Linked DNA regions of Arabidopsis thaliana. The protein of the gene in region 4 interacts with the protein of the main gene of each other region in a biochemical or structural test. Each region holds a gene or a part of one and is shown on either strand. Other genes may lie near its edges.

What was found.
Region 1: the proteins of LFY (region 4) and BRM form a complex in vitro, tested with the Arabidopsis thaliana proteins (one study listed by BioGRID).
Region 2: the proteins of LFY (region 4) and UFO form a complex in vitro, tested with the Arabidopsis thaliana proteins (one study listed by BioGRID).
Region 3: the proteins of LFY (region 4) and MYB17 form a complex in vitro, tested with the Arabidopsis thaliana proteins (one study listed by BioGRID).

What each region holds. Positions count from the first base shown.
Region 1 is NC_003071.7:18,920,728-18,929,244, forward strand, and holds the start of BRM (transcription regulatory protein SNF2), read left to right. Parts: upstream 1-1,805; 5' UTR 1,806-2,473; intron 2,474-2,549; 5' UTR 2,550-2,576; coding exon 2,577-2,750; intron 2,751-3,047; coding exon 3,048-4,322; intron 4,323-4,445; coding exon 4,446-5,753; intron 5,754-5,923; coding exon 5,924-6,036; intron 6,037-6,254; coding exon 6,255-6,342; intron 6,343-6,437; coding exon 6,438-6,524; intron 6,525-6,635; coding exon 6,636-6,728; intron 6,729-7,038; coding exon 7,039-7,122; coding exon of another isoform or gene 7,123-7,137; intron 7,138-7,199; coding exon 7,200-7,403; intron 7,404-7,525; coding exon 7,526-7,768; intron 7,769-7,841; coding exon 7,842-8,517. Other genes in the region: AT2G45990 (ribosomal RNA small subunit methyltransferase G), read left to right, coding at 61-137, 216-316; AT2G46000 (LDL receptor wingless signaling/trafficking chaperone), read right to left, coding at 467-646, 734-862, 1,003-1,320. UniProt on the Arabidopsis thaliana protein: ATPase subunit of a multiprotein complex equivalent of the SWI/SNF complex that acts by remodeling the chromatin by catalyzing an ATP-dependent alteration in the structure of nucleosomal DNA.
Region 2 is NC_003070.9:11,033,049-11,040,527, forward strand, and holds UFO (F-box family protein), read left to right. Parts: upstream 1-2,943; 5' UTR 2,944-3,131; coding exon 3,132-4,460; downstream 4,461-7,479. Other genes in the region: AT1G30960 (GTP-binding family protein), read right to left, coding at 4,707-4,791, 4,878-5,017, 5,111-5,285, 5,380-5,538, 5,872-6,017, 6,125-6,214, 6,411-6,929. UniProt on the Arabidopsis thaliana protein: Component of SCF(ASK-cullin-F-box) E3 ubiquitin ligase complexes, which may mediate the ubiquitination and subsequent proteasomal degradation of target proteins. Considered as a meristem identity factor required for normal growth of the young floral meristem.
Region 3 is NC_003074.8:22,668,031-22,675,811, forward strand, and holds MYB17 (myb domain protein 17), read left to right. Parts: upstream 1-2,698; 5' UTR 2,699-3,275; coding exon 3,276-3,408; intron 3,409-3,666; coding exon 3,667-3,796; intron 3,797-3,884; coding exon 3,885-4,521; 3' UTR 4,522-4,721; downstream 4,722-7,781. Other genes in the region: AT3G61240 (DEA(D/H)-box RNA helicase family protein), read left to right, coding at 110-361, 451-631, 723-811, 886-959, 1,046-1,124; AT3G61260 (Remorin family protein), read right to left, coding at 7,373-7,567, 7,656-7,737. UniProt on the Arabidopsis thaliana protein: Transcription factor that may play a role in flower development by repressing ANT. Regulates the transition of meristem identity from vegetative growth to flowering. Acts downstream of LFY and upstream of AP1. Directly activates AP1 to promote floral fate.
Region 4 is NC_003076.8:24,840,753-24,849,303, forward strand, and holds LFY (floral meristem identity control protein LEAFY (LFY)), read left to right. Parts: upstream 1-3,495; 5' UTR 3,496-3,542; coding exon 3,543-3,999; intron 4,000-4,457; coding exon 4,458-4,864; intron 4,865-5,770; coding exon 5,771-6,181; 3' UTR 6,182-6,237; downstream 6,238-8,551. Other genes in the region: GUT1 (Exostosin family protein), read right to left, coding at 67-455, 849-951; AT5G61865 (uncharacterized protein), read left to right, coding at 6,643-6,837, 7,064-7,171, 7,247-7,312, 7,979-8,551. UniProt on the Arabidopsis thaliana protein: Probable transcription factor that promotes early floral meristem identity in synergy with APETALA1.

The DNA.
Region 1 (8,517 bases), on a different chromosome or scaffold from region 4:
GCATGACTTGGTAATGGTCACCATTAGTTTACAATCCCTATGCATTTTTAATTTGGCCAGTTTCGTGGAAGACAGACTCGCAACGCTGAAAAATGTCATAAAAGAGCCTGAATTAGACAAATGGAGTTTATACCTAGGTGGTCTCTTCCCTCTCCCATATCATCACTTCTGGTTCCCCTTATTGGTTATTCTGACAAAAACTTATCTCAAAACAGGAACCTGGGGATACAACACTGAGAAAGAGAGAGCTGAAGCAGCAGGCATTCCCAGGATTCAGGTTATTGAGCTCTCCACGTTTAGCAATAAGCTTAAATGAGTGCATATACTCATTGGAAAAGAAACAAAGCTTTCCTCTTTATTGTATTCTACGGCATTCAACGGAAACTAAAAACCAAACATGTTTAGGTAAGATTCAGTAAAAGAGTTGAACTTTCAGTACTACCCATTATAGAAGCTTTTCTGTGACCTATAATTCATCCTTAGTAAGATCATTCTTGTTACCATCACCATCTTCGTGATCTTTCCTTTGCTCAGCTTGAAATTTGTCAAAGACATCTTCAAATGGAGGATCTCCAGGTCTTCTAAACTCTTGCTTCCCTATCTTGACCTCGTAAGCTTCTTCTTGGCTCAGCACGAATTCCCTTAGCTAATTGAAAGATATGATTGTGATGTTAGATTTTGACTAATCCACTAAACAAAGTTTTCAGCATTGTGTGTTTTCTGTGGCTTTTACCTCAGTCACAAGCTTCCCATTTTGCATATTGAACATCACTGTGCTTCGATCTACAGCCATGAATCTTACTCCTATCCCTCCTGTTCTTAAAACTTTTGTCCATTTCATAGCAATATCAATCACCACATCCTGATTGAAACATATAAACAGATCACTATTCAATCCCCTGAAGCAACTGGACCCATATCGAATTCAGAGAATTTTGAACAGTAACTGAAACTATAACTTAAGGACCCCAAATTCACGATTCGATTTGGATTTTAGTTTACCTTGGTACGGGGGACGCCTAACCGGAGCTTGACGAAACCGACGACGGTTCCAAAAGTCCGTTTAGCCATTTCCTCTTGGATCTGATCGAATCCCATATTGGTGAAATCCGGAGGCGGATCAAATTCCGGGGTCGTTGCTTTCTTCCCCCACTCTTTCCATGACTCGTCTTCTTCATTGTCTTCAACGTCGTCTAGGTCATCGGAGATCTCGATCCGTCGCTTCGTTGCTTCGGCGATCCGGACAAATCCGTGAAAATTCATAAAAAGAAGGAGGCCAACAAGTAGAATCAGCGAAGAAGAACGAACGATCTTCTCCATCGTTTAACAAATTTATTCAGGAATCAGAAACAGAGGAAGAGAGACTGCATCGGCAACGGCATTTCTATATCAGTAAAGCTTCTACAAACTCGCACACAAGTCACAAAACCATAATAATGTGACTTTTTACTTGTTTCGGGAAAAAAAACTATTAACGACATAAACTGAACCTGCTGGTTCAAAACTGTTCGCCGTTTTTCTATCTTAAAATAGAACTGCGTGCCAACTATTGACGTAAAGATGGCAAGCATATCAAGGCTGAAAGATGAAAACGACACGAGGTTGCACCGTAAATAAAACAAGGGTAATTGTATGATTCTCTCTAATCTACTACTGCACTACAGAAGGTAAAACTAAAAGTCAAAATTTGTCTAATTTTAAATTCAAATTAATTAATCAAGTAAAACAAACATAAGTCTAATTTGATTTCCAAATTTGTTTTTTTTTTTCTTTTTTTGATTTCCAAATTTGTTTATAGTAGTATCATTTTAGTATTCTTATTACCCAATACGGAAACAAATATTTGAAATAAACATGGAAAAATTAAAAGTCATTCCATTTGGTTAACAAAAGGAACGTTTGGTAAATTCACACGTGTCTCATCGTCATTTGTGCAACTGACTTGTATAAGGAAGGGTACTTGTGGTAATAAAAGCGAAAACCGAGGGGTGGCCTCGTGAAACGCATTTTCCGTGTTCCAACTGTATCGAGGCGTGGGACCTACAATCAAAAATAAAATAAAATTAATGCCCCTTCCAAAAAAAAAAAGAAAGAGAAAAAAAAGAAAAAGGGAAGTAAGAAGCCAGCTAGGGTTTGACTGCGAGAAATTTCTGATCTGCGTGAATTTCTCAAAGAGAGGAATCGATCATCGATTCCGTGGATTTCGTTTCCCTCCCTTTTTATTTTTATTTTTCGAGAAGCCATCTCAAAGGATCTGAGTTTATACCGTTGCATCCCCCGCGACTTTCGTTTTCCGATTTCCCCCAAATTCGATGCAAATCTAAGAAGAGAGAGAAATAGAAAGGTGTGTGCGCTTCAACCGACTCAGTGTCTCTCTCTCTCTCTCTCTCTCTCTCTCTCTGTTGCTATTTGAGGTTTTTTCCTTTGCCTCGGGGGCTCTCGCTGTCCGAATTCTTTTGTAGGGATTTATTGGGTAGGGTTTTTCCACTTTTTTTTTGTCTTCTTCTACTAGCTTCGTTGTGCATTGGGTTTAATTGTTTCCAGTGTAGTGACTGTCAGATTCTTCGACCAATTGCATGCAATCTGGAGGCAGTGGCGGAGGGCCCGCTCGGAATCCGGCCATGGGTCCGGCTGGTCGGACTGCTTCCACGTCATCCGCTGCTTCTCCTTCTTCTTCCTCTTCATCTGTGCAGCAGCAGCAACAGCAACAGCAACAGCAGCAACAGCAACAGCAGCTGGCGTCTAGGCAGGTAAAGGATTCTCAAGTCTCTGTTTGGTTCGTTATGACTTAGGAGGGATAAAATGCTTGTTTGTAGTGGCTAATGTTTGTCTGTTAAACTTGCGGCTATTCAATTTTAGTGGGACTTGACTGTTTATCAATTCTGTGTAAAAGGAAAGTAACCAATATCTTTAAATTGAAGTTGTGTAATGGTAGCCACTTGGAGAACATGTTTTGTTCATTTCCACATATATATATAGTTGCTCTGAATTGTGGATTATTGTTCATTTGATTGTTACTAATTATTATCGTGCTTCTGATATGGCAGCAGCAGCAGCAGCACAGAAACTCAGATACAAACGAAAATATGTTTGCATATCAACCTGGTGGGGTTCAGGGAATGATGGGCGGTGGCAACTTTGCTTCGTCTCCGGGCTCTATGCAAATGCCTCAGCAGTCTAGAAATTTTTTTGAGTCTCCTCAGCAACAACAACAACAACAACAACAGGGTTCTTCTACCCAAGAGGGCCAGCAAAATTTTAATCCAATGCAGCAAGCGTATATTCAGTTTGCTATGCAGGCTCAGCATCAAAAAGCACAGCAGCAAGCTAGGATGGGAATGGTGGGTTCATCAAGTGTGGGAAAGGATCAAGATGCACGAATGGGAATGTTGAATATGCAAGACTTGAATCCGTCTAGTCAGCCCCAGGCCTCATCATCGAAGCCATCGGGCGATCAGTTTGCTCGCGGTGAAAGGCAGACTGAATCAAGTTCTCAGCAAAGGAACGAAACAAAATCTCATCCTCAGCAGCAGGTGGGTACCGGACAACTAATGCCTGGAAATATGATAAGGCCAATGCAAGCACCACAGGCTCAGCAGCTTGTCAATAACATGGGAAACAACCAACTCGCATTTGCACAACAGTGGCAGGCAATGCAGGCATGGGCGCGTGAGCGTAATATCGATCTCTCACATCCTGCCAACGCCAGCCAAATGGCACACATCCTTCAGGCAAGAATGGCTGCTCAACAGAAAGCTGGTGAAGGCAATGTGGCCTCACAGTCACCATCTATTCCAATCTCTAGCCAGCCGGCTTCATCTTCGGTTGTTCCAGGTGAGAATTCACCACATGCCAACTCTGCTAGTGATATCTCTGGGCAGTCAGGATCAGCGAAGGCCAGACATGCATTATCTACTGGCTCATTTGCCTCGACTTCCAGTCCCAGAATGGTCAATCCTGCTATGAATCCCTTCTCCGGCCAAGGGAGAGAGAATCCAATGTATCCTCGACATTTAGTTCAGCCTACAAATGGGATGCCCTCAGGAAATCCCCTGCAGACTTCTGCAAATGAGACTCCTGTTTTGGATCAGAATGCATCTACAAAAAAAAGTTTAGGTCCTGCTGAACATTTGCAAATGCAGCAGCCTAGGCAACTGAATACACCGACTCCAAATTTAGTAGCGCCATCTGATACTGGTCCACTCAGTAACTCGTCCCTTCAGAGTGGACAGGGGACCCAACAAGCACAGCAGCGATCAGGATTTACCAAACAGCAACTCCATGTTCTCAAAGCCCAGATACTGGCATTTAGGCGTTTGAAGGTTTTCAGCTCTGACTTTTTCCTTATGTCTTCATTTTTATTGTATGTTTTGCTGGAGATGTATGCCTATAAATAACGTGTCTGCAAGCCAGGTTGAATGTTTTTAATTGCTTTTTTTTGACAGAAAGGGGAAGGTTCTTTGCCTCCGGAGCTTCTTCAAGCTATTTCTCCACCACCGCTTGAACTACAGACGCAGAGGCAAATATCTCCTGCCATAGGGAAAGTTCAGGATAGATCTTCAGACAAAACTGGAGAAGACCAAGCAAGGTCGCTAGAGTGTGGCAAGGAGTCTCAGGCTGCTGCTTCTTCAAATGGACCAATTTTTTCTAAAGAGGAAGATAATGTTGGAGATACAGAAGTAGCTTTGACGACAGGCCACAGCCAATTATTTCAAAACCTGGGAAAAGAAGCTACTTCTACTGACGTGGCTACGAAAGAGGAGCAACAGACTGATGTATTCCCTGTTAAGTCAGACCAAGGAGCAGATTCTAGTACTCAAAAGAATCCTAGAAGTGATTCTACAGCTGATAAGGGAAAGGCTGTTGCATCTGATGGAAGCCAATCTAAGGTTCCTCCACAAGCAAACTCTCCCCAGCCGCCCAAGGATACAGCCTCTGCCAGGAAATATTATGGACCGTTGTTTGATTTTCCCTTTTTCACTCGAAAACTTGACTCTTATGGGTCTGCAACAGCCAATGCCAATAACAATCTCACATTAGCATATGATATTAAAGATCTGATTTGTGAAGAAGGTGCAGAGTTCCTTAGTAAGAAAAGAACAGACAGTTTGAAGAAGATAAATGGTCTGCTAGCAAAAAATTTAGAAAGGAAAAGGATTAGGCCTGATCTTGTTTTACGGCTTCAAATTGAAGAGAAAAAGCTTAGGCTATCTGATCTTCAGTCTCGTGTTAGAGAGGAAGTAGATCGACAACAACAGGAGATAATGTCCATGCCGGATAGGCCGTACCGCAAATTTGTGAGGTTATGCGAACGGCAACGCCTAGAAATGAATAGACAAGTACTGGCCAATCAGAAAGCTGTCAGAGAGAAGCAGCTGAAAACCATTTTTCAGTGGCGTAAGAAACTCCTTGAGGCTCATTGGGCTATACGTGATGCACGCACTGCTCGTAACAGGGGAGTGGCCAAATACCATGAAAAGATGTTGAGAGAGTTTTCAAAGAGAAAAGATGATGGCCGCAACAAAAGGATGGAGGCCTTGAAGAATAATGATGTAGAAAGATACAGGGAGATGTTGCTGGAACAGCAAACTAATATGCCTGGTGATGCTGCTGAAAGATATGCTGTTCTCTCTTCATTTTTGACCCAAACCGAAGATTATCTTCATAAACTTGGAGGTAAGATTACTGCCACAAAAAATCAACAGGAAGTGGAGGAGGCAGCAAATGCTGCAGCAGTAGCAGCGAGATTGCAGGTATACATACTGCTTTCTCTACTCCACAGCGAATATCCATTACACTCTGTAGATAATTCTTCAAACTTTAACTTAAATGTTGACTTTTGCGTGTTTCAGAAAATAGAACTTTTTCTTTTCAAAGGTATAGTGGATATATAGTACCTTACCTGTTTCCGTTTTTGACGCAGGGGTTGTCAGAAGAAGAGGTCAGGGCAGCAGCTACTTGTGCTCGAGAAGAAGTTGTGATCAGAAATAGATTTACGGAAATGAATGCGCCAAAAGAAAATTCATCTGTCAACAAGTAAGGGCATTAGTCACACAAAAAATGATTAAAATAGGGAATTAGCAAAGTACTAGTTGTAACTCATAATTACCAATGCAGCTGAATACTTAAAAAGTATGTGCTTATCTGTAAAATGCTGATAATCCTGCACATCCATATGTGAGAGAATTCTACAGATCACAAGATTAGGAATAGGCGCCGTGGGTGATGTCTAACTCTGTTATGTCCAACTCTAGGTACTATACTCTGGCTCATGCTGTAAATGAAGTGGTTGTAAGACAACCTTCAATGCTTCAGGCTGGAACTTTGCGTGATTACCAGCTGGTATCTCCTCCATCTATACTCTATGTTGTTGCTTTTTTCTCACTGTCATGCCACGTTTTGATGGTTTCTAAGGTTTTTTGCTCTGTGCCAATCAGGTTGGATTACAATGGATGCTATCGTTGTATAATAACAAATTAAACGGGATCTTGGCTGATGAGATGGGTCTTGGAAAAACTGTTCAGGTTAAATCTGTTCCCGATTTGCAGGGATTCCTGGATTTACTTTTCTTTCGCCTTTGGTGACCAATAAATTATTATATTGTCCTATCATAATATACTAATTGTTTTGTACAGGTAATGGCACTGATTGCTTACCTTATGGAGTTTAAAGGGAATTATGGACCGCATCTCATCATCGTTCCCAATGCTGTTCTGGTGAATTGGAAGGTTTGTGTTTCTGATAGACTCTCTTATGATTTTCCACAGAATCAATGCTTAGAACCAAGGGAGTATTTGAGACCCCAAGTCTCCCAACTCATAATTATCTCACTCAGTTCCGCGAGAACCCACAAGCCTCTTATATCCATTATCTAAGCTTAACTTTGACTCTAGCTAACTAGCTGTTAGTTGCGCTGACATGGCCATATCCTGTTGATGAACTCTTCTGTGTTCTTTAGAATACGTATAAGTTTTTTTGCTATCTTTCGTTGACTTCTCTCTGGTACCTGATTAAAGTCCAATGGGTTTTCTTCTGCAGAGTGAACTCCATACTTGGCTGCCATCTGTTTCATGCATATATTATGTTGGTACAAAGGATCAACGTTCAAAATTGTTCTCTCAGGTAAAATTTGAAAAAGTTTCTTTTGCTCCAGATGTTTTGAAGACGTTAATTGATACATCCCCTGTTCTCTTTAACAGGAGGTTTGCGCCATGAAGTTCAATGTCCTCGTTACGACTTATGAGTTCATTATGTATGATCGATCAAAACTCTCAAAAGTTGACTGGAAATATATTATAATTGATGAAGCACAACGGATGAAGGACAGAGAATCTGTTTTGGCCCGAGATCTTGACCGGTATCGCTGCCAGAGGAGATTACTTCTCACTGGAACACCTTTGCAGGTTGGTAATAGCTGTATAGCTACTTGGGCATAAATCAGGACATATAACAAATGGAAACCAAGATTGTATAAGCTGTTTACATTATTTGACTATTCTTATCCTGCTTTTATTAAATCTTGCAGAACGATCTGAAAGAGCTTTGGTCACTATTGAACCTTCTCCTTCCTGATGTCTTTGACAATCGAAAAGCATTTCATGATTGGTTTGCGCAACCCTTTCAAAAAGAAGGTCCTGCGCATAATATAGAAGATGACTGGCTGGAGACTGAAAAAAAGGTCATAGTCATTCACAGACTTCATCAAATTTTAGAGCCATTCATGCTCAGACGCCGTGTTGAGGATGTGGAAGGGTCACTTCCTGCTAAGGTAGGATCTATCTTATATTTTTGCTGTTATTTTCCGTCTAGATATTTCCTCTGATTATGCTTTTGGGTTGCAGGTTTCTGTAGTCTTACGATGTAGAATGTCTGCTATTCAGAGTGCCGTTTATGATTGGATTAAAGCGACTGGAACTCTTAGAGTTGATCCAGACGATGAAAAACTTAGGGCTCAAAAGAATCCGATATACCAAGCCAAGATATATAGAACTTTAAATAATAGGTGCATGGAGTTGAGGAAAGCCTGCAATCATCCTTTGCTCAATTATCCATATTTCAATGACTTTTCCAAAGATTTCCTCGTAAGGTCATGTGGAAAATTGTGGATTCTGGACAGGATCCTTATAAAGCTACAGAGGACAGGCCATCGTGTATTGCTCTTCAGTACAATGACTAAACTTCTTGATATCTTGGAAGAGTATCTACAATGGAGAAGGCTTGTATACAGAAGAATTGATGGGACTACCAGCCTAGAAGATCGGGAATCAGCTATTGTGGACTTCAATGATCCTGATACGGATTGCTTTATCTTCTTGCTTAGTATACGTGCAGCTGGACGGGGTCTCAACCTTCAGACTGCTGACACAGTTGTTATATATGATCCTGATCCAAATCCCAAGAATGAGGAACAAGCAGTTGCCAGAGCCCATCGTATAGGGCAGACAAGGGAAGTAAAAGTGATTTATATGGAGGCAGTTGTTGAAAAACTCTCCAGCCATCAAAAGGAGGACGAGCTTA
Region 2 (7,479 bases), on a different chromosome or scaffold from region 4:
GAATTTAACTCTATTTGTTTTCTTTTGGAAAGTTGATGAGTGATTGTCGGTAACTATACTAAAAATGGTTTTGCATTTTTCTATAGGTGTGGTATGCCTTGGTACGTGGAGGAAACAAGTTAGACACATAAGCACATATGTACTAGACGCAAATAATGTCACAAAAACGGTTTAAAATATCTGGTTTTCAGTTTGCATGTCGTACTTATAACCGAACGTGTGTAAAGTTCTCATGTCATATACCAGTTCTGTTAAACTAATGAAATATGTTCAGAGGTTTAACCACTATAACTATTAGACCCGATTTCAATTAATCAAGAAATATCCAAACTTTTTAATATATGCATTATGCTTTACAAAATTGTTTGATCTTCTAATGATGTAAAGACATTTACAAAATATAATTATTTAATTGATTCTAACTAATTTGTCCGCGCATAACGCTGGCCGTAAACTAGTTCTTCTTACAAATTACAATATCAATTTCCACTTTGGGCCGGAAATTTATATCCATAACTCTACTACGTACCAATTAACACATGTGTGTAAATAAAACTACATAATGGCATGAATGGAGTTTCGAATCAGTTAATGTGGGCGACAAAATAAAATCAGATTATGTTTTATTATTAAGTTTAGAAAGAGATGCTTCATTAAAAGTTTATGCTTTAATGTTAAATCAGACTATTTATTATGGGTACGACTTGTAAGCGTAATTCAAAGTTAAACAAAACCTAGTTGGGAAATGGGAAGATAGATGATTTGATAAAAACAAGACACTGTTTGGTTTCAGAGACTTCCTTTAGCATCAAAACACAAACAAAAGCGAAGCCTCTTGAGTTACTGCAAATAGAGAATATTATTACCCTTTTGCGACTTGTCAGCTTCAGATATTCTCACTTGTATTATTATTTTCACGGTAAACAATGCCTTAAATAAGAAACCCTGATTGGACTTTTGATCTGACTCTACTCTTCACTCTTTCTTCTTCTTTATTTTCAGTCATGATGTCTCTCTAACCCTAATCTCAAAAAATCCAAACTCCTTTTATTTATTTCTAAACCTTGATTATAGCTAGCAATGATTAATATAAGAATTTTTTTTCTGGATAAAGAATTAATTAGAAATTGAGTTGTAAATGTTTTGTGATGTCTAAAATTCTTTTGTTTGCAAATTAGATGTAAATTGATATATTTGAGATTTGTATGAAAGCTAGTTTTATTTTCCCTAAACAAGAAGTTCATTATCTTGGACTTGGAGGTTTTAGAGTTTGAAAGAGTTTACAATTTATAAGAAAAAATAATCACTATATATATATATATAGTGTATATAATGAATTGTTTCACATTAAATTGCAACAACATCAAATAAGGGTAACATACTAACATATAGTTTGTTTGTTTACTCTTTAAAAAAAGGGGATAAACTAAGAGCTATTTCTGCTATAATTTAGGAACAAACTGGATCACATGACAAAAATGCATCATAATTCATATTAAATTTTGTGTATATCTATTTCTCATGTTTAGAAATAACATTCTTGTGTGTTATACATGTTATCAGTTTTTCTTCCTAGATGGAAGTTTTATTGTTGGAGTCTTTTAAAACCATACTCACTATGTTCCTCTTTATTTGATGTTTTGGATTTTAGATAGAAATTAATAAAAAATATGTTTTCTATTTTTATAAAATTATTTTTTTGTTAGTTTAGTAATTTTATTTTTCTTTTTTTATTATTAGTCACAAGCAAAAATAATAACAATATTTTTATAAAACATTAATTTTGGTCGAACAAGTAAAAATAACTCAAAACATCAAATAATTAGAAACTAAAAAAGTAGATATTGTCAAATTTTGTGTTGAGTTCGAATAAGATAATGTGGTCTCCTCCAACAAAATTATTTAGAATAAATGCACTTCTATGACATTAGAGAACCAACTAATTTATTTAGAATAAAACACACATATATATTAACATATAAAGTAATTCTAATTGGCTTGATATAATATATAAGTAAAAAAATGATCTTAATAATCTCTAGTTTTCTTGGGTTGATCTCCACGAGTACAATTTGACTGACCATTATAGAAGTTGAGAAGCGTGCATGTAATAAAAGTTGTATATTACAAATTAGAGAGGAAAAAGAAAGAAAGAAAAAAGATTTGAAGATGTGATCAAGTGTGAAAAGTATTGGAGTAGTCTCCAAATTAATAATTTCGATGCTGGGCATTGACAAGATAACTCTGAAGCTCTCAACTTTAAGACCATCACTTCCTCTGCCACCATTTTCACGTTTACCCAAACACACACATATACAAACAAAATTTTGTTAGTCAATAATTATCACCAAACTGGGGTTATAACAAGGCTTTTGGATACTTGTGCTTGTTGATGTTCTAGGTTCGTATGATAACAAAGTACATCCGTTATATATATTCGAAACACACTTTAATATTAAAAATATATATCCAATTTTCTTGTGAAATTTAGATTATTTGGAATTAAACCTATTTCTCTTGTCTTGGCCACTTGACCGGTTTAGTTTTTTAGACGTATTTTATTATTTCTGTTTAGAAAATAACAACATATATCAACTGATTTTTTACTTCCAATCTCTTTTTGTCAGCACACAAATAGAAAAACGTCTGTAAGCTAAGCTATCAACTAAAACATTAACATATATAATCTTTTACGTTGATAGAAAATAAACATAAATTTCTGAGTTATTTTTTTTTTGGTTGGTGTGTCACTACTTACTTACTACTATACCTTTTTAACAATAAAGAAACACTATTTCTTTTTCTATTCAATATAATATATGTTTTCTATTTGTATAAATCCATTACCTTTGTTTGTTTTATACCAAATGTTCTTTATATATAAGTATATGCCACCTTACTCTATTGAAGTCAAGAACATATCAAAAACCCATGCAAGAAGCTCACAGAGAAAGACCAAACACTTTTGTCTCTTTCTTCAAAACTTTTACATATGATCTTTGCCTCTTTTCCTACAATGGGTTTTGCATAACTTTCACCAAAACCCTCCTCAAAAGCCCTTCACATATTCCCAACACAAGAAAATAAACTCTAAATCCACTTTCACCAAATCTTTTCATTTTTCAGCTAAAATGGATTCAACTGTGTTCATCAATAACCCATCTTTAACCTTACCTTTCTCTTACACATTTACCAGTAGCAGCAACAGTAGCACAACAACGAGCACCACCACAGACTCAAGCTCCGGTCAATGGATGGACGGTCGGATTTGGAGCAAGCTACCACCTCCTCTTCTTGACCGCGTCATTGCTTTTCTTCCACCTCCGGCGTTTTTCCGGACACGTTGCGTCTGCAAGAGATTCTACAGTCTACTTTTCTCCAACACCTTCCTCGAGACATATCTACAACTACTTCCTCTCCGACACAACTGTTTCCTCTTCTTCAAACACAAAACCCTAAAGAGTTACATTTACAAGAGAGGAGGAACAAACGATGATGATTCCAATAAAGCTGAAGGCTTTTTGTTTGATCCTAATGAGATCCGATGGTACCGTCTCTCTTTTGCTTATATCCCTTCAGGGTTTTATCCTTCAGGATCATCAGGAGGGTTAGTGAGTTGGGTCTCCGAAGAAGCTGGTCTTAAAACCATTCTCTTGTGTAACCCTCTTGTCGGATCCGTGAGTCAGTTGCCACCAATATCAAGGCCAAGGCTTTTCCCTTCGATAGGTCTCTCGGTAACACCAACCTCTATTGATGTTACTGTCGCTGGAGATGATCTCATATCTCCTTACGCTGTGAAAAACCTCTCATCGGAGAGTTTCCATGTCGACGCCGGCGGATTCTTTTCCCTCTGGGCGATGACTTCTTCTTTGCCACGGCTTTGTAGCTTGGAATCTGGTAAGATGGTTTACGTGCAAGGCAAGTTTTACTGTATGAACTATAGCCCTTTTAGCGTTTTGTCCTATGAAGTTACTGGAAACCGGTGGATCAAGATTCAAGCTCCGATGAGGAGATTTCTCAGATCTCCAAGCTTGTTAGAGAGCAAAGGGAGGCTTATTCTTGTAGCAGCTGTTGAGAAAAGCAAGTTGAACGTTCCCAAAAGCCTACGACTTTGGAGTTTGCAACAAGATAACGCCACATGGGTCGAGATCGAACGGATGCCTCAGCCGCTCTACACACAGTTTGCAGCAGAAGAAGGTGGAAAAGGATTCGAGTGTGTCGGAAATCAAGAGTTTGTAATGATTGTGTTAAGAGGAACCTCGTTGCAGTTGCTGTTTGATATAGTGAGAAAAAGCTGGCTGTGGGTCCCACCGTGTCCTTACTCCGGCAGTGGTGGCGGTAGCTCAGGTGGCGGTTCAGACGGAGAGGTCTTGCAGGGTTTTGCTTATGACCCGGTGCTTACTACACCGGTGGTTAGTCTTCTTGATCAGTTAACACTTCCATTTCCTGGAGTCTGTTAGTTTTTAGACTTTAAGATAAAGAGACTACTTGTGGTTTCCACTTCTGACGTTAAGACTGCTTGTTGTTTTCTCAAAATTCTGTTTCTTTTATCTTATTACTGTCTGTATGTAGTAAGTTTATATTTCTAATGTCAAATGTCTAATCTTTGACAACATGTCAACAACATATACAGACAGATTTCTAATTGCGTACAATCCAATCCTAAATCCATCAAACTCAAAAACATAACCCTTGGGAGAATGGTTTCACTTGAGCTTAACCTGGAGAATGAGATGAACTTTGCGGTTCATTATTCTCCTGAGTTCTTCATTGGCCTCAATTCCTATCCTCCTGCAAAATTAGCATCAACATAAGATCATCCTTGAGTCATTGATTAGTCAAAAGAATGAATTATGAACGATCTTGTATGCTCTTACCCGATCTTGCAACCGCCCTTGCCTACAAGAATCTTGCGTTGGCTAAGTTTAGGAGTGATGAGATGCTGTTCAATTCTAAGAGACCCGTCACGCAGCTCTTTCCAGTCCACTAGACGGTGCTCCAGACCATATGGTATTTCCTACAATTTGTTTCAATCAATCCTGTAATTTGTCATCTTGGAATAGACGGAAACTGATACAAAATGTTATACTAGTAGAGGTTGTATTATTACCTGATGGACATGGTCTAGTAATCTCTCCCTAACAACTTCAAGAGAAATGTTCTTCAAGACTTCTTCACTCATCGTGAATGCATCTTCTTCCCATGGTTTTTTAACAGCCTGATCCATTAAGTATTGGGAAAGATCTTTCACTCCTGATCCCTTAAGTCCCGATATCATGAAGTATCTAGAAAACCAAACAGGGAAAAAGCACATTTCAATCAATTCGAAGACTTCCCCGGTAATTGTTTTTAAACTGAGTCTGGTATATATATATCCACCTTTCATATGCCGGAAGATCTTGGAACTCCTCAGCAACCTTTAATAGATCCTTTTTCTTCTCAACCAGATCAACTTTGTTCATACATAAAACGCGCTTTTGTTTCGGATTTTCTTCTTCTCCCATGTATTTGATCAAGCGTACCACTCTTGAATCGGGACTAGATAAATCAAAGAGAAAACAGAATTCACAAACTACAAAATAAGTCTAAGAGAACTCTATTTCTACTTGTAATTAATGAAAAACCACAGTCATGATGCCTTCTTCAAAAGAAAGAAATAGATGTGTCTTCCCATCGGTTTACGGTTCTCAAGCTTATGGATAATCTCGGAGAGATGAACAAGATATGAAAGATATCGAAACAGAGAAGCTAGAAATAATAATCCCACCCTAAGATACCCCACTTGATGATGATGCTCATAACCATACTACTCTCAGTTCCGAGATAACTTATGTAAAGCTAACAAAGTACAAAAACTAGTAAACGACTAACCTCATGAGATGCCTATGGACATCAAACATAACAATGAGGACATCAAACAGGTCAACAGAAGTCCAAGCATTTTGCACACGAGCCTTGATGTCTTTGTAACCATATCCGCTTTTCTTCAGCATCAGACCCGGAGTATCGAAGAAACACTGCAAGGTTCACAAATATCAAAAATTCAATCTACGAATGGCTGATCTCCACAACTAACCATAACGAGTAGTTTACATATGCAACAGATATATAAGAGAAAACTTACGACTTGTGTATCTCCTTTTGTCAATACTCCTAACACTTCATGTGTCGTCGTGTTAGTCTTCCGTGAAGCAGCAGCAACCTTTGTTCCAACCTACACTTGGACATAACGAAACACTAAGCATAACTCTCATCAAGATGCAATAAACAAAGATACACAATCACTTCAAAAATTGCAACTTTAGGACTAATCAAGAGTCATAGCAGCACTACATAAACATATACACAATGTCTCAATTGATTCTCAGAGACCAAATCACAGGAATGTGAAATTAAGGAAATGAGCCAACCATGAAATTAGTCAGCGAAGATTTTCCTGCATTAGGTGGACCGATGATGCCGACATTAAGCGACTTCTGATCTTCTTCTCTAACTTCACCTTCACCAAGTTCTTCATCTGGTGACTCTAACGCAGCCTCTAAGAGAGCCTTAGCGAGAATCCTTGACCTATCAACACTATCCTCATCATCTTCAGAACTCTCTTCTTCTGCAACTTTCACTTTACCTTTCTCTGTCAAGTTTCCAAAGAAGGCTTTGTTTACTCTTTCTCTGTACCCTTTATCCCAAGTTGCTTCCTTGGGCTTCTTCACGGAATCTACATTGGAATCGTCGATTGGGTATTGACTACTATCGAAAACAGAGTCGCTGCTTGATCCGTCTTCATTGATGGAAGTGGGTTCGTCTAGATTCGGCTGCGCTGAGTAAAATCGGCGGAGAAAGTTTTGTGCTTGATGGGGATTACGAGGTGTTGTCTTCGTCGTCGTTCGTGAGATGGAAATTAGTATACGTAGAGATCTAAAAGCTTTCATTTTTGTAACAATGGCGAAGTAGCGATCTCGGAGAAGTACAGATTTGAACGAAATGTAACAGAAGAGGCTTCCGAGGGTTTTAGAGGTTTTGATGTTTTGGGGAAGTGGTGACAAAGTAACTCAATATTACAGATAGGCCCCTCACTTTTTGACAAATCCAACGTAGTCCCTAACTTTGTATTCGATATAATTACTACTAGCAAAGTAGCAATACAACAAAAATTCATACTAATCGTATCAATTGGAGTTTGAATATACAGTTAATGGAAGGAATATTAGTCAATTTTGTTTTGGCAAAATATTGAACAACATGGTGCAAACATTTTGGGTGAATCTGTATAATATAATACTTTGATCAATTCAGAAGAAAAGGAGACAAAGTTCTTCCTCCAAGTCTCCAACGACCAAAAAAAAAAAGGACTAAACTTCTGAGAAAAAACATCTCTGAGATCCCTAAACAATGTAATGGTAAACTAACTCACCTGGCTAAAGAATACAACAGATGGAAAGTTAATAACTTAAAATCAGATCATAAATTCAGTATCTGAAC
Region 3 (7,781 bases), on a different chromosome or scaffold from region 4:
GTGAATTTTGAAGATCTTTCTTGTGTGTTGTTATATTCACCTGAGTTTATTTTGTTTTATTGTGTCATAAGCTTCAAAGTTTCTGACTCCTTAAAAATGATTTCTCCAGGCCGACAAGCTTTTGTCTGCAGAATTCCAACCTTCTCTAGAGGAATTGATACAGTTTCTACCCCAAAATCGTCAGTTTTTGATGTTTTCCGCCACATTCCCTGTCACTGTTAAGGCTTTTAAGGATCGACATCTCCGGAAGCCCTATGTTATCAATCTCATGGATCAACTCACGCTTATGGGTGTCACGCAATATTATGCTTTTGTCGAAGAAAGACAGAAGGTTCACTGCCTCAACACACTTTTCTCTAAGGTCAGATGTCTAGATTTATCCCTGTAACTACAGAATTATGAGGGGCTTGATTTAGATGTTCTAAAGTGGTTATGGTTTTTCAATCCCAGCTGCAAATAAATCAATCGATAATCTTTTGCAACTCTGTCAATCGCGTGGAGCTGTTGGCTAAGAAAATCACAGAACTTGGTTATTCATGCTTCTACATTCATGCAAAGATGGTTCAAGACCACAGGAACAGAGTATTCCACGAGTTCCGCAATGGTGCTTGCAGGAATCTCGTTTGCACTGGTAAGCTTTGTGTTTTTTAGCATGTACTTTGAACATTGACCAAGTGTAGATTATGATGATGATGATCTGGCTTATTGGAAAATGACTGCAGATCTGTTTACTCGAGGAATTGACATTCAAGCTGTGAATGTCGTGATCAACTTTGATTTTCCTAGGACTTCTGAGTCATATCTACACAGGGTTAGTCGAAACAAAACTGGTTTGTGATCTAGTTTCTTACATGTTCATTTTAACTCATGTTGCGAAATGTTCAGGTGGGTCGATCAGGACGGTTTGGACACCTTGGATTGGCTGTGAATTTGGTAACTTATGAGGACCGTTTCAAAATGTATGTCGTTCCTTCTTTTCAATGTTCTAACCGGTTTTTCTATTCTGTTAAAGTTTTCTTAGTCATTTATCATGTTTTGAAAACAGGTATCAGACTGAGCAAGAACTTGGGACCGAAATCAAACCAATTCCTTCTAATATCGATCAAGCAATCTACTGTCAGTAAACTTGTAACTGTGCATGAAACGTGTCTCCACCCAATGAGAGGTACAAGATGGTTAAAATGGTAAGAGTAAGACGAATCCTCTCTCTTAGGCTTAACTTGTCAAAACAACATTTAAAATCAAAAAGCTATATTGCATGTTTAAGACCAGTGTGCCCAATATTTCAGGTGTTTCTCAAGCTCGAGGGGAGGAGATGAGGCAACTAGTACTTGGCGGTTCATGTAAAGACTCGTTACTCAGTGGTTTGGTTCCTAATCTCTCTTAAAGACACTTGTTATCTGGTTCTATGGAAACCTCTTTACGCTGCACTTATTATGAGACTCCCTTTGACTTGGTTAGTAATAAAGATAGAACGTATGACTCTCCTCTTTTTTATTTTCGTGTTGGGCTCTGTTTGGAATTATGGGCTTTATCCTATTTAGGATCTATTTATCATGAAAGTTGCACTTCTTAATTTTTGCTTCCACGGAATTATTTTGATTTTTCCAAAATATTTTCTTCCACATGCTTATTATTCTAGTTTGGTATTAAGCTATTTTCGTCAAAATGTTTGAACCGTAACCAATCTTGTTTTATAGTGTTATATCCATTGAGAAATTATAGTTTTCACGTGTTTATTTATTTATTTGGGTTATTAAACATAAATCATGTAAATCTGAATCCTGTGGAGATCTCTCCCTAGTTGATGAATAGATATGATGAATTTAATTCTTTCATGAAATAAAAATATATGAAACATATGTAGCAGAAAAAGAAGCATATCTATGAAACAACAAACATTCAAAAAAAAAAGGAAAACGGAAAATTATTAATATGAAAACTACGGCTTTGACTTGTAGCTGACTACATTTACGACATATATATATAAATGGACCCCACTGAGTGTCTGCAAGGTCTTTACACAACAGTATCTTCTTCTGTTTCTTTGACTCTTTGTGATCCCTAAGCCTACCCATAATACGTGTCTACATTTTATTGGATTGTTTCGTGACTCTGTAATCTTTTTTATAAGAAAACAAGTAATAGTGAAATTGAAGTAAATAGCTCAGCACAGAAACTTCGACAAAAATAACTCACAGATTAGAAAAGAAAATATATGCATAAATAGCCATGGTTCATTTATGAACAATTTATTCGTTTTTTTAGTTTATAATTTCATTAAAACATGTTTGTCACATCACATTTCATGTCCTTCGGCTCCTACTACAACAACAAGTCACTGTCATCTCCATTACTTCCACTTCTGCTCCTTTCTTTATTAACTTGTTCAAAAACAATTCTAAGATAAATAACAATAAATGTTGGTCTCTCTTTATTATTTCCCGGCTAAAGAAGGAGGATGTCTCGTATTATCCGCCATCAATGCTCTTTTGTTTCCTGTTTCTTGCAATTTGAATCCCTGAGAATCCTAGCCCACTTATTTACTACTTTGCCTTAGCTGTTTTCGACATCAAAATTTTGGTCATATGACTCATATCAATCTTCAAATTTGATAAAATATGTTCCCAATTCACAAAAACAAAAAAGTTTTCGAAAGCTCAAAAACCTTTACCATTTCAATAGTAGATAGGATTCTTTTAGATTTGCATTTCACGAAAAGAGAAGAAAAAAAATCGAAAAATATTTGCAATCATGATTTTTTGTTTCTGAAGGAGACCTGTAGTTGCTGTCATGAACATTAAATACAAATCTAATAAATGTTGTACGAATTTTGCGTGTAATAAATGGTCAGGGCCGGCTCGAAGCTCGCTGATCGTCCTTTTTTCGTGTCTCTATAGCAACACACAATCGTATTTATTTCAAACTTTTTTTACTTTGTTTCCCATCCATCAAATATAAGTATAAAAATGTAAAGAATCATCATATATAGATCGTAAATTCATTGCTTCCTTTGGCTTTTTATTTCATCTAGACGACGTTAAAACCAGACCAGACCAAATACATTTATCATTTTTCCCTTTTTTCTAAAATTCTCTCTTTGATTCCTATCTTCTTCTCTTTATTTTCACTTTGTGCTTTCTCTGTCTCTCCTATTATGAGTCTAAAAGTCTACTAGCTGTTCAATAGTTTTGTCTTTCTGTGTTTCTTCTTCTTCAAAACCGAAAGAAATTCAAAAAGAGTCTTTCGCTGCTTGTTAGTGGGGTGAGGAACAAATGGGAAGAACACCTTGTTGTGACAAGATTGGTTTGAAGAAAGGTCCTTGGACGCCTGAAGAAGATGAGGTTCTTGTTGCGCATATCAAGAAAAATGGACATGGAAGCTGGAGAACACTTCCTAAACTTGCTGGTAAACTTCATATTCTTCTTCCTCTTTCGTTTTTGTTAGATTCTTGAGGAGATTTCGGGGAAAGTTTTCATCTTTACATCAACATTTTTACTAGAAACTCCATAACTATGGTTCTTTGACTTGTTGGAGAAGGAAAGTTATCTCATTTATTAAGGTTTTGTTCCCTTTGGAGAAAATTCCATTAACTGGGGTTCTTCAGAGATTACATAGAGAAAAGCTTTAATCTTTATAACTTTCTTGTCGGTCATGGTGAAACAGGTTTACTTCGCTGTGGGAAGAGTTGCAGGCTGAGATGGACAAACTATCTGAGACCAGACATAAAGAGAGGTCCTTTCACTGCTGATGAAGAGAAACTTGTTATCCAGCTTCATGCCATTCTCGGCAACAGGTCTTTTACTTTGCTTCTCCACCTTCCTTCTCTACTCTAGCTATCTTCTTCTTCATTGTCTGAATTCTGCTTTTTTTTGTTTCCTCAGGTGGGCTGCTATTGCAGCACAGCTTCCAGGAAGAACAGACAACGAGATCAAGAACTTATGGAACACTCATTTGAAGAAACGTCTTTTATCTATGGGTCTTGATCCCAGAACTCATGAGCCATTACCTTCATATGGGTTAGCTAAACAAGCTCCATCTTCACCAACAACTCGCCACATGGCTCAATGGGAAAGTGCTAGGGTTGAAGCTGAGGCAAGGCTTTCTAGAGAATCAATGCTCTTTAGCCCTTCTTTTTACTCTGGTGTAGTAAAAACTGAATGTGATCACTTCTTACGCATTTGGAATTCCGAGATTGGTGAAGCTTTCAGGAATCTCGCTCCATTAGATGAATCAACTATTACTAGTCAAAGCCCTTGCTCGAGGGCAACATCGACCTCATCTGCACTTCTGAAGAGCTCAACAAATTCTTGGGGAGGGAAAGAGGTTACTGTGGCGATTCATGGCTCAGATTATTCTCCATATTCAAATGATCTTGAAGATGATTCAACAGACTCTGCTCTTCAACTTCTGCTTGATTTCCCTATAAGCGATGATGATATGAGCTTCTTGGAAGAGAACATTGACAGCTACTCACAGGCTCCTCCTATTGGTCTTGTTTCCATGGTTTCCAAATTCTAGTCTTATGAGAGCCTAATATCTAAGAAAAAGATTCAAACTTTGCTTCCTTTTGGTTTTTAGTGATGATAAGTAGGGATATAGTATCTATGTAAATCAGCATTAGTTAGTTGAAGTACTTAATCAACCCTTTCTTTTATGATTTGATCATGTTTGAGAAAATTGCAGAACATTAAACAATTAACCATTCATTCTCATGTTTTCACACACAGAATCAATATACAATCAACATTACATGAGAATAAAGAAATTTGCATATTGAAGACTAGAAACATCCACAAGTTGCCTTTGGAACAATTCCAATGGCTCTGTATTTAGCAGACGTTTCTTTCGCTATAAGAATGCTTGAGAAAATTGTAGATCAAGAACAAAAACTTCGAATGAATCCTAACATTTTGTGAGAATTGAATGAGAAGCTAGGTTATAAAAACATTTATAGACTTATGTTTTGTACGCCTTATAAAAAGAACATGATCAAACCCTAACACTCTACTACAAAGAAACAAAGTTAGAACCACAGTCAAATCCTTTAGATAGGGAAACTAGAATTCTAATTAATGGCGAATGGAGGAGACTACGTGACGATTACGTAACTAAAATTAAACAGACTCTGCTCTTCAACTTCTGCTTAATTTTCCGATAAGCGATGATGATATGAGCTTATTGGAAGAGAAGAGCTACACACAGACTCATGTTGGTCATGTCTCAATATATGGTTTCTTAATTCTTATCTTATGAAAGCCTAATATCTAAGAGAAAATATTCAAATTTTGCTTCTTTTTGGGTCTTCTGATTTTTTAGTGAACAGAGGTTACGTGACCGTTAAGTAACTAAATTAAATTAATTTTTGATGGTTTAGTAATTGCCAAATAAACCGAGAAGTGAAAAAAGGAAATTAACAACATAAGAGTTTTTGAAAAAAGGAAAAACAGAAAGTAAAAAAGGAAACTTGAATCCCTAACGGCTAACACATTAGAGAACATATTCTTTTATTAACCAGACCAGAAAAGAGAAGAGCGTCGTGATGGAAGATGATACATATTCTTCTTCGTTTAGAATCATTCCAGATATTAACGCCAACGCTCAGTGGTGATTTCTGATTCGGCTCTGTTCACATAGCCGTTAGTACGCGACGAATTAAGAAGATCAAGTCTGGTCAGACATTTCAGAAGCATCACGTCTTGATAAATCTACCGGAGATTTTGAGAGGAATTTGCAGTATAAACGGCAACTGACGACGGAGATGGCGATAGAGGCGGTGAATTTTGATCGGGGATTATAGGATTTGTTTTCAGTCACGGTGGCGGAGAAACTAACGGTTGGATTGCAATCTTCAAAACCATACGAAGCCCAACAATAAGAAAAGGAAATTCAGCCCATGATAGTCCATCAGATTATTAGTCAGGTCAATTTCTATCCCATCTTAATTTTCATTTTTAAATATTCACTTTTTATATTTTAATTCAAAGTTTTTTTTACTATACACACTAGTTCTTTTAGTAAAAAAAAAAGTTTTTAAAGATATATTTTTTATATTACTATAAAAACTTTAAGGTTTTTAGTTTGAATAAGTGTTAAATTTTTAAACTTTGTGTAAACTAATTGGATACAATATCCAAACCCCTTAGGTTCAATATGGTTTACACATTATTTAGATTTTTAACACTTGTTTTTTTTTCTTAAACAATATTTTTTATATTACTATTAAAATTAAGATTTTGTTTTTTTGGATAAGTGTTAAATTTTTAAATTTTATGTAAACTAATTGGATACAACATTCAAACCCCTAAATGGTGTTCTAGGTTCATTATGGTTTACACATTATTTAGATTTTTAACACTAGTTGTTTTTAAAAAATGTTGTTAAACTTACATTTTTTATATTACTATTAAAACTTTATGGTTTTCTTTTTCTGAATAAATGTTAAATTTTTAAATTTTGTGTAAACTAATTGGATACAACATCCAAACCCCTAAGCGGTGTTTTAGGTTTAATATATTTGATAAATTATTTCCTTTTTAACACTTGTTTTTCTTTTATTAATTATTTTAAAACTAATATTTTTTAAATTACTATTTAATTTTTAAATTTTGGATATGTATTAAATTTTTAAATTTTGTGTAAACTAATTTAGTTACGTAAAAGAACCGGATTTAGCATTCCGTCTTTTTTTGTTTGTAAGTATTGTGATTTCATTAAATTTAACACGTTTTCACATATTCAAAATTTAACACTTAAGGTTTTTCACAAGTAATATTATTAGTAAATTGTTTTCATTTTTAACTCAAAGTTTTTTACTATTAAAACTGTTTTTATTTTGAAATATGTTTTAGACATAAGTGTTAATTTAAAGATGTAAAAATAAAACTGATTTAGCATCATGTCCTTTTAGTCTGTAAGTTTTGTGTTATTAGTTCAACATTTTTTCATGTATTGTAAATCTCACATTTCGTTAGCTTTTAATGTTTTTCACAAATAATTTTCGAAGAAAATTGTTATAATTTAAACGAAATTAAATTTAAGTGTTACATTCAAAAATACGTTATAAACAAACTGAACTTAGGATCCCGTCCTTCGAATTTCTTTTGGTCCATTAGCTACTGTTATTAGTTGAAGAACTTTAGAAAATCTCCTCATATTCTTAATGACTTGAGTCATCAATCTTCTCTCCATGATGTGATGTGACAATGCTTGAGAAAATTGCGGAAAGAAAACAATGAAACATATTTTTCACTCTGATTGTCACACACAAAATCAATATACAAACAACATTACAAGCCATTAAAGAGAACAGAGAAATTTGATTACACTTTACAGTTACGAAGTCTTGAAACTTTGATTCGCAAATTCAAGATTAGAAACATCCACAAGTTGCCTTTGGAACAATTCCAGTGGCTCTGTATTTAGCAGCCGTTTCTTCTGCTTTAAGAACGTCTTCTCCACGCTTAGCTTCAATCATTGCTCTTCTCTCTTCTGCTTCCTTGTGAATCGCTGCAACCTTATTCTTCATCCTCTCTGCATACTCTGCTTTCTTCTTCTCTAGTTGCTCCTGCATTGAGAAAAAACTCACAAATTAACACTTCACTTCTCAATCACATTAAAACCGTTTCACCTCTCTATTGCTAAGTTTATTATACCTCGATTTTCTTGAGTTGCGCTTCGACAGCTGCTTTCTTGCTGTTTTCCCAAGCATGAACATCTGCAATCTTCTTCTCAGCTCTGTTTCATGTCAATAGTCAGCAAAATCAGGCAAAGAACATAAA
Region 4 (8,551 bases):
ATCAAGCAAGCAAAGCCTACTTAGGATAGAAAGAAAAAGAGACTGAGAAAAGATTCTATTGTTTACTTGATAATGGAAACAGGCTCCAAAGTCATGAGGCACAACAAAGAAGTGGTCTGCTCCTTCTGTGCGATTCCAGTATGGCCAATTGGAAGCAATAAGCTGAATGGCACTTCTCATCATTCGTGGAGATTTAAAAGGAAGAGGAAGCCCATTAGGCGTGAGATCACAAGTGGTGTACACAGGTACGTAGAACCAATCAGCTTCCTCGGGATTAAGTGTTCGAACTGGGCTAGATAAAAGAAACCGTTGCATATATATCTCAGCAGCAAACATGTGGTTTAGACATCTCGGATCCTTCTGAAGTATCTTCTTGTTGTATTTACTTGGAAGCTCATAAACAAAGACTTTCAGTCTTCCCACGGGATCATCTTCCAACACATCACCAGCACTACCTAAACATCAGAGAAGAAAAAAACAGATACACACTTAAAGTTCACATCATAAGCAAGGATTAACTATGTAGCTCAATCACAGAACCTGAAAGATAATGCTCATCAAAGTAAAAAGTTCAAAAACAAGATATAGAATCGGCTTATTCAGGCATGAATATTGTCATATACAATTTACAAATCAGATGCATCTTGATTTACATTTTCCCCAGGTTCAACAAGTGAAAACGAAACCCCTAGTCTTCATTCGACTAGCAAACTAGCTGATGACTACACAAGATAACTACGGCAAATCCCTAGAACTAAGCTGCATCATCCAAGTAAAATTATGAAACCTGAGAATTCACAAAATCCATAGATTAACCTTCTCTGCATAGACTGATAGATAGAACTCACCTGAAATTCGCTCAGTTGGTTGACTCCGACTCAGACGGAAAGCAGAAATCGAGGAGAATGTGTTACATAGAAGGAAGATCAAAACGCAGCTCGATAACTTCATTTTTCTCTCTCAGAAATTTTGGTTCCTCCCTAAAAACTCTTCAAAATCCCAGATCATATAAAGTATATAAAGATCAACTAGAACAGCTGAAATGTCAGAAGAAGTAGTTGCTAAAACCGGAACCCCGAGATTGAGACTTCAAAACCGGAACAAAATTTACAAAATTCGCTACCGATTGTTAGATCTCACTCACGCCCAGCGTTGACAGCGAGAGCCCAGCGATTTTCATTTGAAGATGCGAAGAAAGCAAGAAGAAAGTTGAAGAAGATTCGTCTATGGCCTATACGACGTCGTTTGAAAGGGATCCATTTTTCGCAAAGGAAAGTCGTTGGGGACTTGAACATTCCACGTCAGCCTCTTTTCCACTTTAAAAAATAACAATGTAATGGGCTGACCGAGAAGATATAAACGCAGCCCATTATTTAATGGGCAAAAGTGTTTTCTTTTTGGGTTAAAGTGTGATTCCGTTCTTGTGAACCTAGTTGTAAACTTTTGTAACTGCAAAGTGTAGTTCGGTCTTGTTTATCCGGTATATTGAATTTTGAAACAGTAATAAATAGCTGAATTAAGTCACTTTTGAGTTGTTTTTCTTTAATGTGAAAATGATACTGAGAAAATAGGGTAGTAATAGGAGGCTTTAGAACAGATTATTCAGTCTTTTCAAGATTCTAAAACTCCAACAGTTAAATAACAGTGGTGAAAACAGTATCAAGAGTACGAGCCGCTACTCGCAATGATGAAGATGATGATATATAATAGTAATGAATTTATATGTTGTAAACTTGTAATGTTAAAGATTAATAATAAACTAAATGAGAGAAAGGACAAAGAAAAGGTAAGAGGAAACTGAGGGAGTGAGACAGTCAAAATAAAACAGACTGAGAGCATTAAGAATGCCAGTCTCTCAGAACTTCGATTTGACCTGTCGTTTCCTCATTGGCTACCTTTCCAACATTAAAGTTTTTTATCGGCTCAATTCCAATGTTATAATTTTTTATATATTTTCACATCATTCTTTTTTTTCACTGTTTAGTCACAAAGTTTACGTAACCCATATGTCCAATCCCACACTTTAATTTGTATTTTTAGTTCCAACATATAAAAATAACAAAATAACCATTGCTTTTTTCCCCACTTTAATTTGTAAGTTCTTTCTGTTATTTAATAAATTTGACATTACCAAAAAAAAAATTTTTAGATGGGTGAATATATATAGAAATGTAACTTATCAAATTGATTCGGTTTTCTGATTTTCTTAACGACTAAAAAAAATATATGTGTACTAGGGCAATAGGGGTAATTACAAATCAGGGAGATGACAACACGTAAGAGATAGTTGAAGAGATTAGACCGAAACACACCTGACCTCCTCTCCTTCTGGAGTTTTCACACTGCATTTATCAATTAATGTTTCCTAAAACGCAGATAGATAAAGGTTTCATTTATTAGCTTATGTTTATTTAAAGCAAAAGAACAACTTGTGGCTATATATAGTAGATTAACAATCTCAGACTCAGAGTGCTGATATTTCTTATCATACAAAATTTATCTTCCCCTAACAATACTTCCAAAGCTTATTTAGATAGACATATATGGAATTATGGATAATGGATTCCCTTAAGTTATATGAATCATAGGGGAATATAATTTTAGTAACTTATCGGGCTTCTGCAAAGATTGTGCATGGTACCATGCGTCCATGCCAATACAGTTAAAGTTTACATAATACAAATTTTTACGTATTTCTATATATCATATATGACTTACAGATTATCATAGCTTAATATAGCCAGTATTGCCAACTTTCCATTCGTACCTAGAACTTATAAGAAGATTGGAAAGGATATTAAAATTGAAAAAGACGTAGGTTGGCCATGTATCTTAAGATAGTTAAACGATATCAGCAATCTATCAATAATCAATCTATCGTAACAAATATTTTTGTCATAAATGTATTTGTAGATTTTTTTTTTTATACTTTTAGATGGTTAAATGTTCAAGAAATCTAACCAAATGGTGGAATGGTTCCGTTTGATCGTGCTCTCATGGTACAAACAATGAGACCCCCCAAAAAAAAAAAACCCCCGAGGATGAAATTAAAACAAATAACACAGCTTGAACAAAACATCAAAAACAGAGGATCATCACAGTAAATATTAATACTTGAACAAAACATCAAAAAGATAGGATCATCACAGTAAATATTAATATGCATAAAGAAGAGAATCACCACAGTGAAAACCCTAATCATTTTATATTCCTACGTGTCAAATTATGAATGGTCATAATCAGAGTAGAGAAAAAGAATGTCGATGAAAGAAAAAGTTTGACTTGTTAAGTCCCAACTGTCAATTTCCCAGCAAGACACATATCTTCTTTTACATCACATTACATCTACACATAAATGCTTTATTGCAAAAATAGCGATATAAAAAAAGAATATACAAAAACCTAGTATTTATTTTCTAGATTCTTTACTGTTGTATATATAGAAGTTGCTCGAGTGGTCATTTTTACAATAAAGCAATCTGCTCAAAAGAGTAAAGAAAGAGAGAAAAAGAGAGTGATAGAGAGAGAGAGAAAAATAGATTATGGATCCTGAAGGTTTCACGAGTGGCTTATTCCGGTGGAACCCAACGAGAGCATTGGTTCAAGCACCACCTCCGGTTCCACCTCCGCTGCAGCAACAGCCGGTGACACCGCAGACGGCTGCTTTTGGGATGCGACTTGGTGGTTTAGAGGGACTATTCGGTCCGTACGGTATACGTTTCTACACGGCGGCGAAGATAGCGGAGTTAGGTTTTACGGCGAGCACGCTTGTGGGTATGAAGGACGAGGAGCTTGAAGAGATGATGAATAGTCTCTCTCATATCTTTCGTTGGGAGCTTCTTGTTGGTGAACGGTACGGTATCAAAGCTGCCGTTAGAGCTGAACGGAGACGATTGCAAGAAGAGGAGGAAGAGGAATCTTCTAGACGCCGTCATTTGCTACTCTCCGCCGCTGGTGATTCCGGTACTCATCACGCTCTTGATGCTCTCTCCCAAGAAGGTACAATAATTATGAATACATATAGAAATATCAAATATCGCACGTTTTATAAATATGTGTATATATTGTTCTCAACATTTCTATGCCCGACTTTCAAGAAAAAGTATGTATATGTTCACGTGACTAATATAGATAACTAATTTATGAATCTTACCATATGTATAGTAGTTGCTACATAATTTTATGTTTAAGCTTTTTTTTTGGTTAAATATATTGGTTAAGCTTTTGTTACATAATACAAGATAATATATGTCATATTTAATTTATATGTTGGATATATTTACTTGTATGATATTGATTTAGAGCTACTGTGTGTATAGAGTATGCAGTCATAGTCTGATATTTATTAAATAGACCTAGTGCAAGAAGTACGAGGATTAATGTCATGTACAGGAATTCAAAGAGTATATACGCCTAAACTTGAATAATTTTTTGTGATTGTGACAATTTATATGTAGATGATTGGACAGGGTTATCTGAGGAACCGGTGCAGCAACAAGACCAGACTGATGCGGCGGGGAATAACGGCGGAGGAGGAAGTGGTTACTGGGACGCAGGTCAAGGAAAGATGAAGAAGCAACAGCAGCAGAGACGGAGAAAGAAACCAATGCTGACGTCAGTGGAAACCGACGAAGACGTCAACGAAGGTGAGGATGACGACGGGATGGATAACGGCAACGGAGGTAGTGGTTTGGGGACAGAGAGACAGAGGGAGCATCCGTTTATCGTAACGGAGCCTGGGGAAGTGGCACGTGGCAAAAAGAACGGCTTAGATTATCTGTTCCACTTGTACGAACAATGCCGTGAGTTCCTTCTTCAGGTCCAGACAATTGCTAAAGACCGTGGCGAAAAATGCCCCACCAAGGTATCTTTTGATTTATCTTCTAAGAACTAATCCTGACCGTTCATTATCTTGAAATTTATGTTTCAAACAAAAGTTTAAAAAATGGTGTCGGAAGTTATGGGGTATGGTAGGGGAACTATAGCTATAATCATGGACAGCTGTTCTAAAAGCAAGTTTGACAAATCACGATTTCTCAGGGTTTTCAATTTTTTATTTTTTTTTGCTATGTCTCGCAACAAAATTTAGGTTCTAATTTATTAAATTTTTCATTTTGTTTTCATACTGTCTTCAGCATAAATATAGTTAGATTTCAATTTCAATTTTGACAGTAAACGTACGACAACGTGTCGAGTTAGGGAAAGGACATAGTTGTTTCTTTGTTTTTGGCTATAACGACATGAGATAGTTAGATACGATATACAAATTTTTGCATGCATTCACACATAGTACACATAGATATTATTAGACTTTTTGACAATTAATAGGGATATTTGTTGTATGTATATATTATTATATCTAGTTACAGTCTATTGCTCGGCGGATAATAGAGGGTCCTCTTTCCTCTAGTGATGATAGTACAGAATCCATGAGCTCTGTGCCATTGCTTGTACAGACGCACGTTACTAAGAAAATCTAATTTATTTGTTTTCTTTCTAAATTTGTTATTGGTTCCAATATTTTGATTATTGTGTTGTTTTTATCAAAAACCTTTTTGTTATCTAATTTTTTGGGTTTAGTTAAGTGTCAAGTCTAACAAGGGTTATAAAAAATATCTAACAACTACGGTTATAATTTTGGTAGGCATTTTTTTTTAATCATTGTTTACCGAATTAAAACCAAACTTATTAGGTTTCATTTTTCCTACTATATATCTCATGATAAATGATTTGTTTGATTATATTGATGTTGGGGAAAATGTGTAAATAGGTGACGAACCAAGTATTCAGGTACGCGAAGAAATCAGGAGCGAGTTACATAAACAAGCCTAAAATGCGACACTACGTTCACTGTTACGCTCTCCACTGCCTAGACGAAGAAGCTTCAAATGCTCTCAGAAGAGCGTTTAAAGAACGCGGTGAGAACGTTGGCTCATGGCGTCAGGCTTGTTACAAGCCACTTGTGAACATCGCTTGTCGTCATGGCTGGGATATAGACGCCGTCTTTAACGCTCATCCTCGTCTCTCTATTTGGTATGTTCCAACAAAGCTGCGTCAGCTTTGCCATTTGGAGCGGAACAATGCGGTTGCTGCGGCTGCGGCTTTAGTTGGCGGTATTAGCTGTACCGGATCGTCGACGTCTGGACGTGGTGGATGCGGCGGCGACGACTTGCGTTTCTAGTTTGGTTTGGGTAGTTGTGGTTTGTTTAGTCGTTATCCTAATTAACTATTAGTCTTTAATTTAGTCTTCTTGGCTAATTTATTTTTCTTTTTTTGTCAAAACCTTTAATTTGTTATGGCTAATTTGTTATACACGCAGTTTTCTTAATGCGTTAACGGATTTTAAAACCAATTTGGTCAAACTCAAAAGTACTAAGATACATTTGAGTTAAGAGCACTGAAAATAACCATTCATACATCGAGAAAGAACTGTGAAGGTGTCATCAGTATAATTAATCAATAATGGGCCAGTTTGAGACAAATATATGGGCCTGGTTTGAGACAAATAGATGGGCCGTGGATATATAAACTTGTGTGTCAGAAATTGCAAACGAAGAAAACAAAAGAGAATTTGAGAAACGACTGTTTGAAATTCGAATCCATTTCTCTTCGGACTTGTGTGATAACTGATTTCCTCCTACAATGGAGTTCCCGCCAAGAGCGTTTTATCCACGGAGATTCCAGGCCTCTCCGGCGCAATACACGGCGGAGGAAAGTGCTGCAGCAGTATCGGCGCCAGATCTCCGAGATAAGCTCGCGACACTGGTCGATCGCACCAAGAAAGTGAAAATGGCGTACCATCAACTCCAATCGCAGATCGCGTTCGGCCTTGTCGAAGTAAAGATAAATGCTCTTCTCTAGTTTGTTAGATTCGATTTCTAAGTAGATCTAAGCTTGATTCAAACGAATTTGAGAGAGGTAATCCTATTATCTGGTTTGGTAGATTCGAGCTTGATTTGAACGATTCCGAGTGTTGCGTACTCTTTAAATTGGTAGTTTCAAGCTTAATTTGAACAATTGTGGGTGTTGCAACGAATTTGATAGAGAATTTGATAATTTAAAGGCAGGTGAAGTTTTCGATTCTCTGGCGATCCCTTTGATGAAGTTGGTTGGGCTGAAAACGTCGGAGATGGAGAGTGAAGGGAGACACTCCGCCTTTATTTTCAATACTGTGAGTGATATCAATCATCTTCTTGTAGAATCATGAAATTGCAAATTTTCAGATCATTACTCTAATTTTCATCAGGAAAGGTATCATCATATGGATACTGCACGGTCTGGTGATCTGAACATTCAAATTCGCAGTTCAAAGGTAGTATAGTAGTATACATCATGATTCTTATAACATATGTATGCCTAGTTATAATGAAGACTGAACGTGAACCAATTGATATGATTCTGAAACTGTTATGTGTCTAGGCAAGTGTCATTCTGATGATTCTGTATATGTGTATCCCTTGTTCTACTATAGATGTGATGCGAAAAAAGCAATATGATTCTGAAATTGTAACGGGTCTTGTCAAGCTTCACTTTGGTGATTGCCTATTTAGTATGACTAATTTTACTAGATATTGAATGTGAAACCAAACAATGTGATCCTGAAACTGTAAAGCGTCTAGTCAAGTTTTAGTTTGGTGATTCCTTATACATGTATACCTAATTCTGGTATAGAGTGAATGCAGACTAATAAATATGATCATGAAACTGTGATGTGCCTAGTCAAGTTTCATTCTGGTGATTCGTTATTAATGTTTGGCTAGTTCTGCTATAGATTAATGAGAACCAATAGGGAATATAGTTTAGATGCTGTCTTCTCTACACTTTCTGTTTCAAATTTTAATCAATTGCATCACAAAGCTGTTTGGAAAACCATTTGTACCTTCATGTGGGTTTGGAGCTTGCAGTTAAATATATAATTCTGCCTACTTTGAGTGGATTTCTTCCTCAGAAGTTCATTTGAAGTATCATGATTTTGTAGGAAGAAAACTATGCTGCTAAAGCCGAAACAGCGGGGAAAGAGATCTTGCACAAGCATAAGGGGCAGCTGAGACAGTTAGTTCATATGCTTAAGCACATTGAAACACAGGTGAATTCACATCGGGAAGATATTCTGCAGATGGTTGACGATCGTAGAACCTTCTTCCAAGAATTCATCCAGAAGTCTCTTTATTACCTAAGCTCGGTTCACAGCCAAAACCATGACACTTTCCCTGTCACAGTGAAGCTCCTTCGCGTACTATTTAATAACATCAACGAGGTGCTTGGTTCAGTAGATACTGGAGTCAATGATTTTATGCAGGCTTTAGCAAAGAATATGTGTCACCCGATGACCAAGTACGTAGGCAACTTGGCTGCTGAAATAAAGCATGGCCCTTGTGTGCAACTGATGAATGTAGTGAATGAGATGGAGAGATCAAACTCAGATACAAGGAGAGAGCTACAAGATGCTAGAGAAAGGATTAGACTTGCAGAAGAGACAAAGATCAACGCTTTATCAAAGCTGAAAAAAGCTGAAGATCAAGTTCAGAGGATGACAACATCTGCCAAATTT